3 linked regions of the Oryctolagus cuniculus genome follow. The protein of the gene in region 1 interacts with the protein of each later gene in a pairwise test. Links are inferred from orthologs where the notes say so. Each region holds a gene or a part of one and is shown on either strand. Other genes may lie near its edges. The genes, in order: AQP1, TRIM23 and RGS17.

What was found.
Region 2: the proteins of AQP1 (region 1) and TRIM23 interact in binary tests that used the Homo sapiens proteins (3 or more experiments, as listed by UniProt). The two-hybrid records come from large-scale screens. The link is inferred for Oryctolagus cuniculus from reciprocal best matches to the Homo sapiens genes AQP1 and TRIM23.
Region 3: the proteins of AQP1 (region 1) and RGS17 interact in binary tests that used the Homo sapiens proteins (3 or more experiments, as listed by UniProt). The two-hybrid records come from large-scale screens. The link is inferred for Oryctolagus cuniculus from reciprocal best matches to the Homo sapiens genes AQP1 and RGS17.

Annotation. Positions count from the first base shown.
Region 1 is NC_091447.1:22,134,655-22,138,236, reverse strand, and holds the end of AQP1 (aquaporin-1), read right to left. Parts: intron 3,373-3,582; coding exon 3,292-3,372; intron 2,750-3,291; coding exon 2,570-2,749; 3' UTR 813-2,569; downstream 1-812. UniProt on the Homo sapiens protein: Forms a water channel that facilitates the transport of water across cell membranes, playing a crucial role in water homeostasis in various tissues.
Region 2 is NC_091445.1:86,561,960-86,565,800, forward strand, and holds part of TRIM23 (E3 ubiquitin-protein ligase TRIM23), read right to left. Parts: intron 3,564-3,841; coding exon 3,285-3,563; intron 2,706-3,284; coding exon 2,523-2,705; intron 1,126-2,522; coding exon 910-1,125; intron 1-909.
Region 3 is NC_091436.1:14,661,738-14,666,340, reverse strand, and holds the start of RGS17 (regulator of G-protein signaling 17), read right to left. Parts: upstream 3,057-4,603; 5' UTR 2,890-3,056; coding exon 2,882-2,889; intron 1-2,881. UniProt on the Homo sapiens protein: Regulates G protein-coupled receptor signaling cascades, including signaling via muscarinic acetylcholine receptor CHRM2 and dopamine receptor DRD2.

The sequences.
Region 1 (3,582 bases):
GCACAGGAATGGTTTGCATGGGCAGTGATAGCTCTGTGCCCCAGCGCAGGTGACCCAGCACCCACCCCCCATCAGCCACACCTTCCCCAGAGGGAGGCAGGAATCAAGTGTCTCTCAGGAAGAGTGCTGGGGCATCGGGATCTTCCCACCCACTGTGCCCCTGTGGCCTGGAGAGACCCTGGGAGGTGACGGCCCCCTGAGCTTCTGTGGACGGCAGGAGCTTGCCCCGGCCTGTGCCCTGTTCTCAGCTCTCAGTTTACCACCAGAGTTGGCCCAATGAGGGGGAAGCAGCCCAAAGTGTGTGCACTGGGGCAGTGTCAGGAACCTAGGTATGACCCTGAACCTGACACTCATCTCACCGACTCAGAGGACTGAGTGTGTGTCCCCTGAGCCTCAGCCCCCTGGGGCACAGGGGCAGGTGGGGTCACACATGTGAGCTGAGGGCAGAGGGAGAGCACTATACGGGGCAGAGGGGATTAGTGGGGCTGCTGGACCTCAGCCCCGCCTTCCCCAGTCCTCCCACACTCCACAGTCAGAGATGGCTCCCACCACCCTGAGCAAACGGCCAGAACCCCTGCACCACTCAGCTGCCCCCAGACCTCCAGAGTGGTCCACTGAGCCCCGAACACTGCCTGCAGGGGTGGCGGTGGGGTGGGCGGGGCAGGACTCTGCACCCCTGCGGTGGGGTTCTGTGCTGAGGGTCCTGAGAGCAGGCGAGCAGGCAGGACCTCCCCAACCCTCCCTTGCAGACCCAGAACACCCCTGTAGGGACACAGCACCCCGGGGAGAAGAACCACAGGAGGCCAGCGGACTTTACGTGTCATTTCCTTTATTGACTTAACATACGTGAAATTCCAAATCCAGAGGCAGGTATGCAGAGCAGACAGATGCAGGGTCCTCGGCGCAGCAGCCAGAACCAGCAGGGAGTGGGCCTGCCCCTCTCCCCTCCCACGCGCCCCACCCCCACCCCCAGGCCCTGGTCAGTGCCCAGGCAGAAACTGGGAAGCTGCAAATGACAGGGGTCAGCCTCAAGCTCCAGGGAGTAGCCAGAGACATGGCCTTCATTGCTAGGCCTGGCCAAATCATCTAGCTGTGGGGGTCTTGGGCCTCAGTTTCCTCATCTGTTAAATGGCTGGAAGTTCCTGCTAGGGAATGGAGACATGCATGTGCACATGCCACATGCCAGTGACTGCTAAGGCCTCCTGGCTGTCCACCTGCGTCATTGTGTCTCTGGGTTTTCATTGCCACCCTGGCTATGGACACGCCAGGGAGCTGTTCTGGCCCTGGTGGAATTCAATGGACTCGAGCAGATAGCTGAGCGGAAGGACCAGCTCCCCAACTCCCACTGCTGACCTCTGCCCTCCAGGTCAGTGAGGAGGAAAGGATTTGTGGCCTGGGGTCCCAGAGTCAGGAAGCTACCCCGATGCCCCCCACCACACTCATGAACAAAGCAAGGGGGCTCCTCCCACTCAGGGCCAGTGGGGTGGGGGTCTGGCAGTGGCTGTGCCCCCAGGGGCTGCGCAAGGGGGCTCCTCCCACTCAGGGCCAGCGGGGCGGGGGTCTGGCAGTGGCTGTGCCCCCAGGGGCTGCTCAGGATAGGGGTCTGGCTGTCCCCGGCCTCCAGGCTTCAGGGAACCCAAGGTTCTTTAACGACACACTCACATCAGGGGCCTGTGTCCACACTGGCAAGGGAAGTGGAGAACTGAGATATGATGGCCACAGTGCAGCGGGCCATGGACATGACGTGGACATGGTGAAGGAACACAAGTGCCTGTCCTCTGCCCTCTAAATGACCTTCAGTCTGCAACAGCCAACCGCGACTTGGGAAGCCACTCCCTGGGGAGCAGCAGATCCAGAAACCTGTGCGGTGGGTGGACCTCTGCTCTGAAACCCATCTGCTTGTGCACAGGGGTCTACACTACACCTCCTGGAACCCATGACGTGTCTACACTTGCAGAATCCTAGAGAGGAACTCAGACCCACATGGCTCGCCCTGTCCCTGCTACTGTACAGATGGGGCCAGCTCCAAGTTCATGCAGCAAAAGCACAGTGGGAGGGTCCTGTGACCAAGGCAAATGGCAGGGGCAGGGCTTGTCTGCACACCCCCCGCCACTGCACCTGCTGGGATCTCCTTCCCAGCACTCCTGGGGGCAAGGTGCATGTTAGGAAAGGGGGGCCACTCCCAAAGGCACATAGCTTTGACAATAGAACCCCAGGCACCTGTGGCAGGTGAGCAGGTGAGCAACTCCGGATGAGGGGGACTGCCTGGCACCCCTCCAGGCCAGAAAAGGCTACACTCTGAGGGCCTCTCTTTCACCTCCTCCATGACATCAGGGGAGTGGGGCAACTGGTAAACCTTGGTCACCAAGAAGCTCCGAGGCCAAGAAACAGAGACAGAGAAAGAAAGTTATATGGACACCCCTAAATGAGGCCTGACCCCGACGGCAGGTCCACTCAGGGGAGTGCCTTTGGCCAGCTTGTCAGAGTGTCTGTAATACGGATTTCAGCCCACCCGCCCTCCACCCCCCCAAACCCGCACCCCCCAGGTCGGTGCCTGGGCCTGGCCCCTCTATTTGGGTTTCATCTCCACCCTGGAGTTGATGTCATCGCCGTCCAGGTCATACTCCTCCACCTGGCCGCTGGTCCACACCTTCATGCGATCCGTGAGGTCGCTGCTGCGCGGCGCCAGGATAAAGTCGTAGATGAGCACGGCCAGGGCGCCCCCGATGAATGGCCCCACCCAGAAGATCTAGGAGCAGAGTGGGCAGGCTCAGAGGGCGTCCAGCTCTTCCCAGCCTCCCCCACTGTGAGGGCCCAGCAGGTAAGATGCTGGCCTGGACCCTGCACAGCAGCCATCGTCACAGCGAAAGCCCATCGGGCGCTCCCTGTGAGCTGAGCTCGGCCTGCAGGTGTGCCAGTGAGTGCCTGCCTTCTCCGCCCCGCAGCCCTGCTTGGGGAGGGACCACTGTGAACCCACTTCACAGCTGGGGAAGCCACCGCACCAGGAGGCAAGCACCTGCCCCAGGCCACGCTGTATCAGGCAGGGCAGGACTCAGACCCGCTCTCAGCCATGCTGCTGGAGTGACTTGTGGGCCGGACAGGGCAGGGTGGGTCTAAGCTGGGAGGGAGAAGCCAGTCCTAGAACTGCCCACTGTGTGACCCCTCGTGGCCCCGCTGTCTCCCAGACCTCTGTGTAGGGAAAGCAGGATGTGAGGTGGGCTCAGGCTTGCCGCAGATGCTAGTGCCTCCCACCCACCCCCGCCCCAGGCGGCCCCCACAGGGGTCACTTACCCAGTGGTTGTTGAAGTTGTGGGTGAGCACCGCCGAGCCGAAGGACCGAGCAGGGTTAATGCCACAGCCAGTGTAGTCGATCTGGGGGTTGGGGAGACGGACAAGGGGAGAGGAAGAGGAAGAAGAGGGAAGGCGGGACCCGGCAAAGAAGGGAGAGGAATGAAGAGACAGGGCAGGGGCAGAGACAGGTGCAGGGGAAGCGACAGGAGAGCGAGGTGGGGGAGAGCGCGAGTCAGACACAGAAGCACCGAGGGACACCGGCCCAGAAAGCTGGTCGGGAGGTCCCCTAGT
Region 2 (3,841 bases), on another chromosome or scaffold:
GGCACCCGGGGTTCTAGTCCCGGTCGGGGTACCGGATTCTGTTCCGGTTGCCCCTCTTCCAGGCCAGCTCTCTGCTGTGGCCTGGGAGTGCAGTGGAGGATGGCCCAAGTGCTTGGGCCCTGCACCCACATGGGAGACCAAGAGAAGCACCTGGATCCCGGCTTCGGATCAGCGCAGTGCACCGGCCACAGCGGCCATTGAAGGGTGAACCAACGGAAAAAGGAAGACCTTTCTCTCTGTCTCTCTCACTGTCTAACTCTGCCTGTCAAAAAGAAAGAAAGAAAGAAAGAAAGAGAGAGAGAGAGAGAGAGAGAGAGAGAGAGAGAGAGAGGGAGGGAGGGAGGGAGGGAGGGAGGGAGGGAGGGAGGGAGGGAGGGAAAAGAAAAGAAAAGAAAAGAAAAGAAAAGAAAAGAAAAGAAAAGAAAAGAAAAGAAAAGAAAAGAAAAGAAAAGAAAAGAAAAGAAAAGAAAAAGAGAGAAAGAGAAAGAAAGAGAGAGAAAGAAAGAGAAAGAAAGAGAGAAAGAGAGAGAAAGAGAGAAAGAGAGAGAGAAAGAGAGAGAGAAGAGAGAGAGAGAGAGAAAGAGAGAAAATGAAAAGACAGAGGCACTCCAAGCAGAAAGAAGAGTATACACCTGACATGAAAAGTAAGAAAGGGCTTGGCAGCACTGAAGAATGAAATGAAGCCTGAGGGCTTCTGGAATCCGTAACGTTATGGGAGGAAGGTACTGAAGGAAAGGATGCTGATGTGGCTGGTGTAGCAATTTCAAATTAGAGATCATGTCCTAAGCACAACGTTAATGCACGTGACAGAACACACTAAATCAACAAAACAGACTAGTGTGTAGTTTCTGTAATTATCTACTTAATGTCACAACAAAGAGCCTAACAACATTTAACCTACCTACCTACCTGCTGTAAAGTCTTTTCACAATGGAGGCAGGCTGTTGAAACCTGAGACAACAAAATAGTCATATCTTCTTGTTGCTGCCTGAGCCAAATTAGCTTTTCACGAACATGGGCATCAACAACACTTAGAGCCATTTCTTCTTGTCGACACAGAGTTTCATGTAGATCAGAAAAATAAGCTCGGACACATGATCGAGCATTCTCTGCAGTACCTGGTACCTAAAGAAATACAATTTTCAACAACTGTAATGTTAACAAAGATTTTATAACTGAAATGATGAAAAAAGTTACATACCATCTATACCCTCAAAAATTCCAAGTTTTCAATCTCCATGTTAGATTTTTCTCCTTAACTATAGACTGTGGACATCCAAGTATTCACAAATGGCATCTCCAGCAAAATGTTACACCTAATCTATCCCCAAACCCTAGTTACTTTCATCTCAGTAAATGGCATTTCCATCCTCCAGGTTGTTGAAATAAAAACAACTGGAGTTAACCTTAACATCTCTCTTTAATGTACTACAACTCATCCCTTGGCAAATTCTTTAAAACTTCTTTAAGGAGCCAGCATTGCTGCACAGCAGGTTCGAGACCAGCTGCTCCACTTCCAATTCAACTCCCTGTTAATGTGCCTGCGAAGGCAGTGGAAGATGGCCCTACTGCTTGGGCCCCTGCACTCATGTGGGAGATCAGGAAGAAGCTCCTGGCTCCTGGCTTTGGCCTGGCCCAGACCAGGCCGTTGCAGCCATTTGGGGAGTGAACCAGTAAATGAATGTTCTTTCTCTCTCTTCTGCTTTCTCTGTAACTCCATCTTTCAAATAAATAAAAATAAATATTTAAAATATATATTATATGCATATTTTATATATATATATGACTTCTTTAAAGTCTCAAATCCATGTACTTCTGTCCATTTTCACTACCATAGTATCATAGGACAGAAGCACTTTTGAACTAGGCATTTCAACATCTTCATGCTTCCAATCTTGTTGCTCCTCCACTTCATCTTCTACATTTCAGAGCAACCTTTCTTTATACAGATATTATTGTGCCATTTCTATGTCAAATCTTCAGGGGCTCATCACTGCCCTTAAGCTAAGTTCTGAACCCTTGTATATGGCTGACAAAATCATGGATGATTTAGTCTTTAATTCTCCAAACTCTTCTTGCCATGCTCCATTCAATACTCAAAAGTTCCAATCACAGTGAACTTAAGTTTTAACAGGAAGCCTAACCCTCACTTCCAGGCATTTTAATATACTGTTCCTCTCCAGAGCAACTCACTCCTATCCTGCTCTTCCTCTTGACTGCATTCCTGCAAATTGCAGTTCAGAATCACTTCTAGGAAGCTTTCCCTGACACACAAAAATTGTTGCCCTTGTTATACATGCCAAGGAACCCTGTAGTTCCCACCCACAAAAGTTACCACACTTGAAACTATCTTTCTTCCATGATGAATTACACATTCCATTAAAACAGGTTTTTTTTAAAACTTATTTCCAGTGACTGATGCAGTACGGAATTCACATTAACCGTTCAATAAATACTTACTAGAAAATGGAAAGGTGTGAACAAAAAAAGGATAAGGAAAGGGGGAAGAAAGAAATCCATACATGTTCTGTGTGAGCCATTGCAATTCCATCTTCAACTATTTGTTCTCCACCTTCAATGTGCTGGACAATTCCAACTAGTTTTCTGGAATAATCTGCTATTTCCTCAGTGAACGTCCGTATGCAGTGAGCCATATCTAAAATTGATGCTCGAATCTGATTAGCTTCTGGTTCCAGTACTGAATGCTATAAAATGCAACAAAACCATAGGAAAAAACTCACAGCATTGGCCAATGATACTAAAAAATTATTTAAGACCTTTCTATTAAGACAAAAAAGATCAGTCTCAAGTGGCCTTTATAACACATTTAGAAATGTATATAAGAAGTTAAACAATATGAATTCATTTTAACTCCTTCATTAAAAAAGAAAACTTTCCTGCACATAATTTAAAATTTGGAAGTCCATCTATCACTAAACAAGAAACCTAGAGATAATCTCTAAAATTATACTATAAGAAATGTTCATCAATAAACTTACATACTGACAAAACAACCCAGTACATTATGAAAACACAAACTCAAAGAAGAGAATTTTGCCTTCTTGCTAGAAAGCTATTTCTCAGTAGAGAAAGAATCATGAGGCCTCTGACATTTTTCTGACATTCAGAAATAAAGAGCTCTCATTTCTTTATACACTGCAAAGCCTAACACATTCCTCCCTTATCTCTTCTTCAACCTCTACTTTTAGGATAAAGATCAGGTAGATGAAAACAAATGGTGGGCTGGTAAACTAGCTAGTCATTCAGTTTAATTAGATTCATACCTTGTGACCTTGGTGCTTTCCATATTCTTTGCAGACACAGCACATGAGTGGGCTACTTTGACAACCTTCTTCCAAACAAACAAACTCAATGGCATGCACCTGGTGCTGCGAGCACATGGTTTTCTCATGAGGTTTATCAGCTAGAGGCACTCGCCTGTGCTTCGCTAAAGTCTTTGTAGAATGAGTACCTTGGGAACACTCTGAGCACAAGTGAGTTGCACACACAGTGCAGTATACAGATGCAACATGAGCTTCATCTTCATCACAACGAATAATGCTCTGACAAACAAAAAAGTAATGTCTTAAAACTGAATTCAATCATTATAACATGACAGATTTTAAAATACAAAAGCCCATGATCTTTTTTAACAAATCAGACTTTTACATGAAAATGTACTGATAATTATGTACAAGAGACATTAGTCACTCATCTAAGAAAGCATTCATTTCTACAGGTAAGCGAGAAGCTATTTCCAGGATAGATTACCAATACCTATTATGAATTTGAGTCCAAAAATAGTCCATCACATATTCTCATAAATATCACAGTCAGTACA
Region 3 (4,603 bases), on another chromosome or scaffold:
GAAAAAAATTACCTCCTTAAGATCAGGTCACATGAATTCACAAAACTGGAAGTGGTTACATAATACAGCAGTTATATAATACCATATTGCATGTATTATATCTTAAGGTATAATGAGCTTTCAGCTAATCATTTTGTATTCTGAGTGCAGCCTTCCTACTTGTTACTTGACTTTCTTGTCTCACTGACACCTCCACCTGTGTTCAGCAGTACGCATCCTTTTCTCCTGAATATTTGCCAATGATTATGCAGGCAGGCCAGCAGTTCCCCACTCTCACCCCATGAATACAGACAGGAATCACACACAAATACGTGCATACAGTTCCACACAGATCATCTTTTCAAAATATTAAACTCTGCAGTGTATAAAGGACTTCTCTATCTTTGGGGTTTAAAAGTAATACATGCATAACTTTCAACTAAATCCATAATTAATATAAATACAGGTGAGTCATTAGACCCGGAGATTACTTAAAAGTAATTTCATCAAAAAGATTTCAACAGTGAAAACTGACGTTATTGTACATTAGCAGATGAAGAAAACATGGCTCTAATGGCTTGAATCAAGATTACAGACATTATTTATTCATAAACTAGCACAGATATGACAAGCAAGGCAGTTAATCCATGACTACCAGAAGAGAATAAAACAGCAGAGATTTTTTTTTCCTGACAGATTGAACATGAGTTCATGATATATTATAAATTATGGAGAAATGTACATATTCTAAGATAAATATAATGACAAACACCAATTTTTGTATGAGAACTATCTATACTCCTTTCTTCTCACATATCTATTTACAAATTCTATTGATACTGTTGATAAAATAAAAAGGGAGATCAAATATCAAGCTTCATTCTAACACTAGTTAGGAAAAATGTTAACACTGCAATTCATGTGGAGTATTGACTACTACACTTCACAATATAGCATTCAGTCAGTCACACCAGTTTGTAGATTATGTAAATCACTGTATTATTTTTTAAATAGTGTTGCATAGCATAGTACCCTCAAAAGAGACACTCATTTTTCTTTGTTTTTATCTGGTAAGTCTTGGTCATACTAAACATACAGGTCACAAATGCCATACGGTAGAGCTGAGAGGAAATAAATTGAAAAAGAAACAGGTTCAAACCTCAAAGTGGCTCACATGGTTATTCATTAACAGCCCAGTCAAAGGTGTAATGACAAGCATGTTAAATTTAGTGGCTTACATGTGGGTTTAGCACACCTTCAAGATAATTCATTCCTGATGTCAACGTCTTTCATCACCATAGACAGGCAACATAAATGTACATTCATAACATATTGTTAGGGAGGATTTGATGACTTTACTCAGATTCTATGAATGATACTAAATCTTCCTGGATTAGAGTAAACCTAGTTGCTGGGTTTAGAATTCACCCTAGTGATTTCAACAAGCTGATGTTGAAGATGAGTTCATCTTTCCAAAATCAAGTTTTTTATATATATATGTGTGTGTGTATATATATATATATATATATCAGATATATGTATATATCTGAAAAGAGTATCCAGGCCTTTTGGCCAGTGTAGTGTATTATCACAAGATTACTATGAAAGATAGTAGCACAGAAGCAAAACATGAACCCTAAGGAAGGGCATGGCTGTGACTTCTTCTGTCTCCATTGCACATGCCCTACCACCACCATTTTCATCTGCCTTGACTCATATTATGATCACCACCCACGGAAGCCTTTAAGTGAGAGGAAAAGCACAGTACAGTTGCACGCAGACATTCCCTTTACATTAATGACAGTGAAGTGTGGTTCTCCCAATTTGTAACTTCCCAAAAGTCCTAAGCCTCCAGTCTTTAGCTGTTTTGATGTTCTAATGGAGGTTGTTAAGTCTCTCACCAGCAGATCCACTGCCTGTTGCCTTCTTTCTCTGAGCCTCTGCTTTGCAGCCTGCTTGCACTTGAGAGGTAGAGGCTCCTAAATTTTGAGGTTAATTCCCCTAAATTGCTAAACCCTAGAGAAATGTTGTATTTAATTATGACTTCTAAGGTTAGCATAACTAGATAAAAGCAAAGTAATAATATGTTGAAGAAGCTTATATGTGAACTCCTTATAGAAAGGGTTCATGTTTAATTGACCATTGCATTCAAAAGTCATACCATAGAGCCTAACACAGAGCAGGTACTCAAAAACATTCATTCACGAATGTTCATTTAACTGGTTTCTTCGTCTACTCAGGAAAGGATAACACAGAACACATGGACAGCAACTTCAACATTAATAAGGACCCATTCATTAAGACAAACACCAGCAATTAACTAAAATCTCAAGTATTTATTCTCTAAACAATGTTTATTATATTTATTTTATTTAGCTCAACATAGTGTCAAAAACATGCATAGTTACTGTCAATATATGAAGGATTTTTATAAACAACTTCATTTCATTCTTAAACACTTTTGGGTTTTAAAGGTAATGAGACCAATGGTCAAAGAATTGAAGAAAACCTTTGGTTATTTTAATCCAAAACTTGATCTCTGTCTACCAAATTACATTCTTTGCTTTAAAAGTCTCTTTCTTTGAAGGGCAATTATCCACACGCTTTTTCACATTGTCTAATTAATCCTGTGGACTGCAGCTTCTCACATAGCAGACTGGCAAATATTTGTTGATTTTGGTTAACTGAATCCTGAAAACATAAAACCATCGAGAGAAAAAAGGAGACATGGAGTGGTCTTCTTAGAGACAAAACTGATTCTTAAAATCTCCAAAGTAGATCACTGCCCAAAATAAGCCCCAAACGTTCAAGATTGAAAATAAAGTATTGTCAGCTTTCAGAAAAGAATTTTTCCTAATGTAACTCCCAATGAGAAGCACTGCAGAACAAAGTCAACACTTACCTGCTCATTTCATGTATGTCATGATTCCCCTTGGGTTGTGTCTGTTTTACTGCAATGCTACAGCTCTTAAATTCTAACCAGTATATTCAATAACCAATCAGCAGTACTATGAAAAGGCCATGTGACCCAATATAAGGAAGTAAATATTTGCTTTGTGAACCCATACTCATTGTCTATAATAAAATTACATCTATTGACACAAAGATTTAAAAGAAAACTTCACCTACAAGGTGTAAGACAGAGAGATTTCAGATGTTCATTGCTCATGTTAGAATTCCTATTATGAAATATTTAGTTTTCTTGAGAAATCCTATATATCTAGTAAATAGCAGAGTAACTTTTCAAATCCCGTTGTCTTTGAAATGAGATATTATTTTCCACCACAGCTTACTGATCTTCCTATAGGGACTTCCCACTCACTGTAAGTTCTGCATTCATTGAATCTGAATACCTGAAATAGTACCATATTTAAGAAACTGGAACCTCCAATGATTATAAAATTTTACACTCGCTAGGTAGTTTCATACCTAAGGGACTTCATAGGTTTTCCAAGTTAATTAAGCTTGGAAACCAAATTTGTCAAATGTTATAGAGTTTAAAAAGTCAAAATCAGGAGCTTAAAAGACCACTGAATCATGTGAAGCATTGCAAACACAAAATTCTTATATTTTAAATATTTGATGTCACATATGCATTAAAATTTGAGGTAGGATATAATATTAATTTCACAGTTTCATAATTAATAGATGCAACTGTGATGAGATATCTCAATTAATGTCTCAAAAAGTTCTCCCTGTACTCCCATCTTTTCTCTCAACGCCCTTCATCTTAGGAAACTTGGACTCCTGTAACAATGGCAACAAACGGAAACAACCCATGGAAACCTGGGTAATCTTCACATACAAACTTGACCCTTCTAAAGGAATTGTACAAGTTGGAAAGTGTAGGCATAGTAGCAATACATTATGAATACCACGGCAGTCCTGATCCCTTGGCAGATGCATTTCCAGCCCTTCTGATTTAGACAAAGTGATCTCTGTTTTCTTTCACACTAAGCATTTCCTTTCCTTGTTTACTTTAAAAATTAACACACAAATAAGAAAAATATATGAGAACACCAATAGACACCTAGACAAGAGTTCTGAATAAGCCATCTTCAAAGACAGGAAAACAATTGCTTATAGGCATGTCTAAAGGCAACCTGAGGGACGCAGCACTGTGGCATAGTGGGTAAGGCCGCTGCCTGCAGTGCCTGCATCTTATATGGGTGCCAGTTCAAGACCCAGCTTCTCAACTTCCAATCCAGCTCTCTGCTATGGCCTGGGAAAGCAGGGGAGGATGGCTGAAGTTCTTGAGCCCCTGCATCTGCCTGGGACGACCCAGAGGAAGCTCCTGGCTTCAGATTGGCACACGTCTGGCCAATGCAGCCACTGAGGAGTGAACCAACCAATGGAAAACCTCTCTCTCTCTCTGCCTCTCCTTCCCTCTCTAGGTAACTCAGGTAACTCTGACTTTCAAATAAATAAATCTTAAAAAAAAAAAAAAAGCCATCTGGGACAGGTGCTGGTATAGCTGTTAAAACACCAGGGGGGATGACTGGGTCCCACCATCACAGTACCTGGGTTTGGTACCTGGCTTCGATACCCATCAATTTCTGCTTCCTTATATCTCCCTCCTTTTCCCCCCTCCCTTTTTCTGTCTCTCTGCCTCTCAAATTAAAAA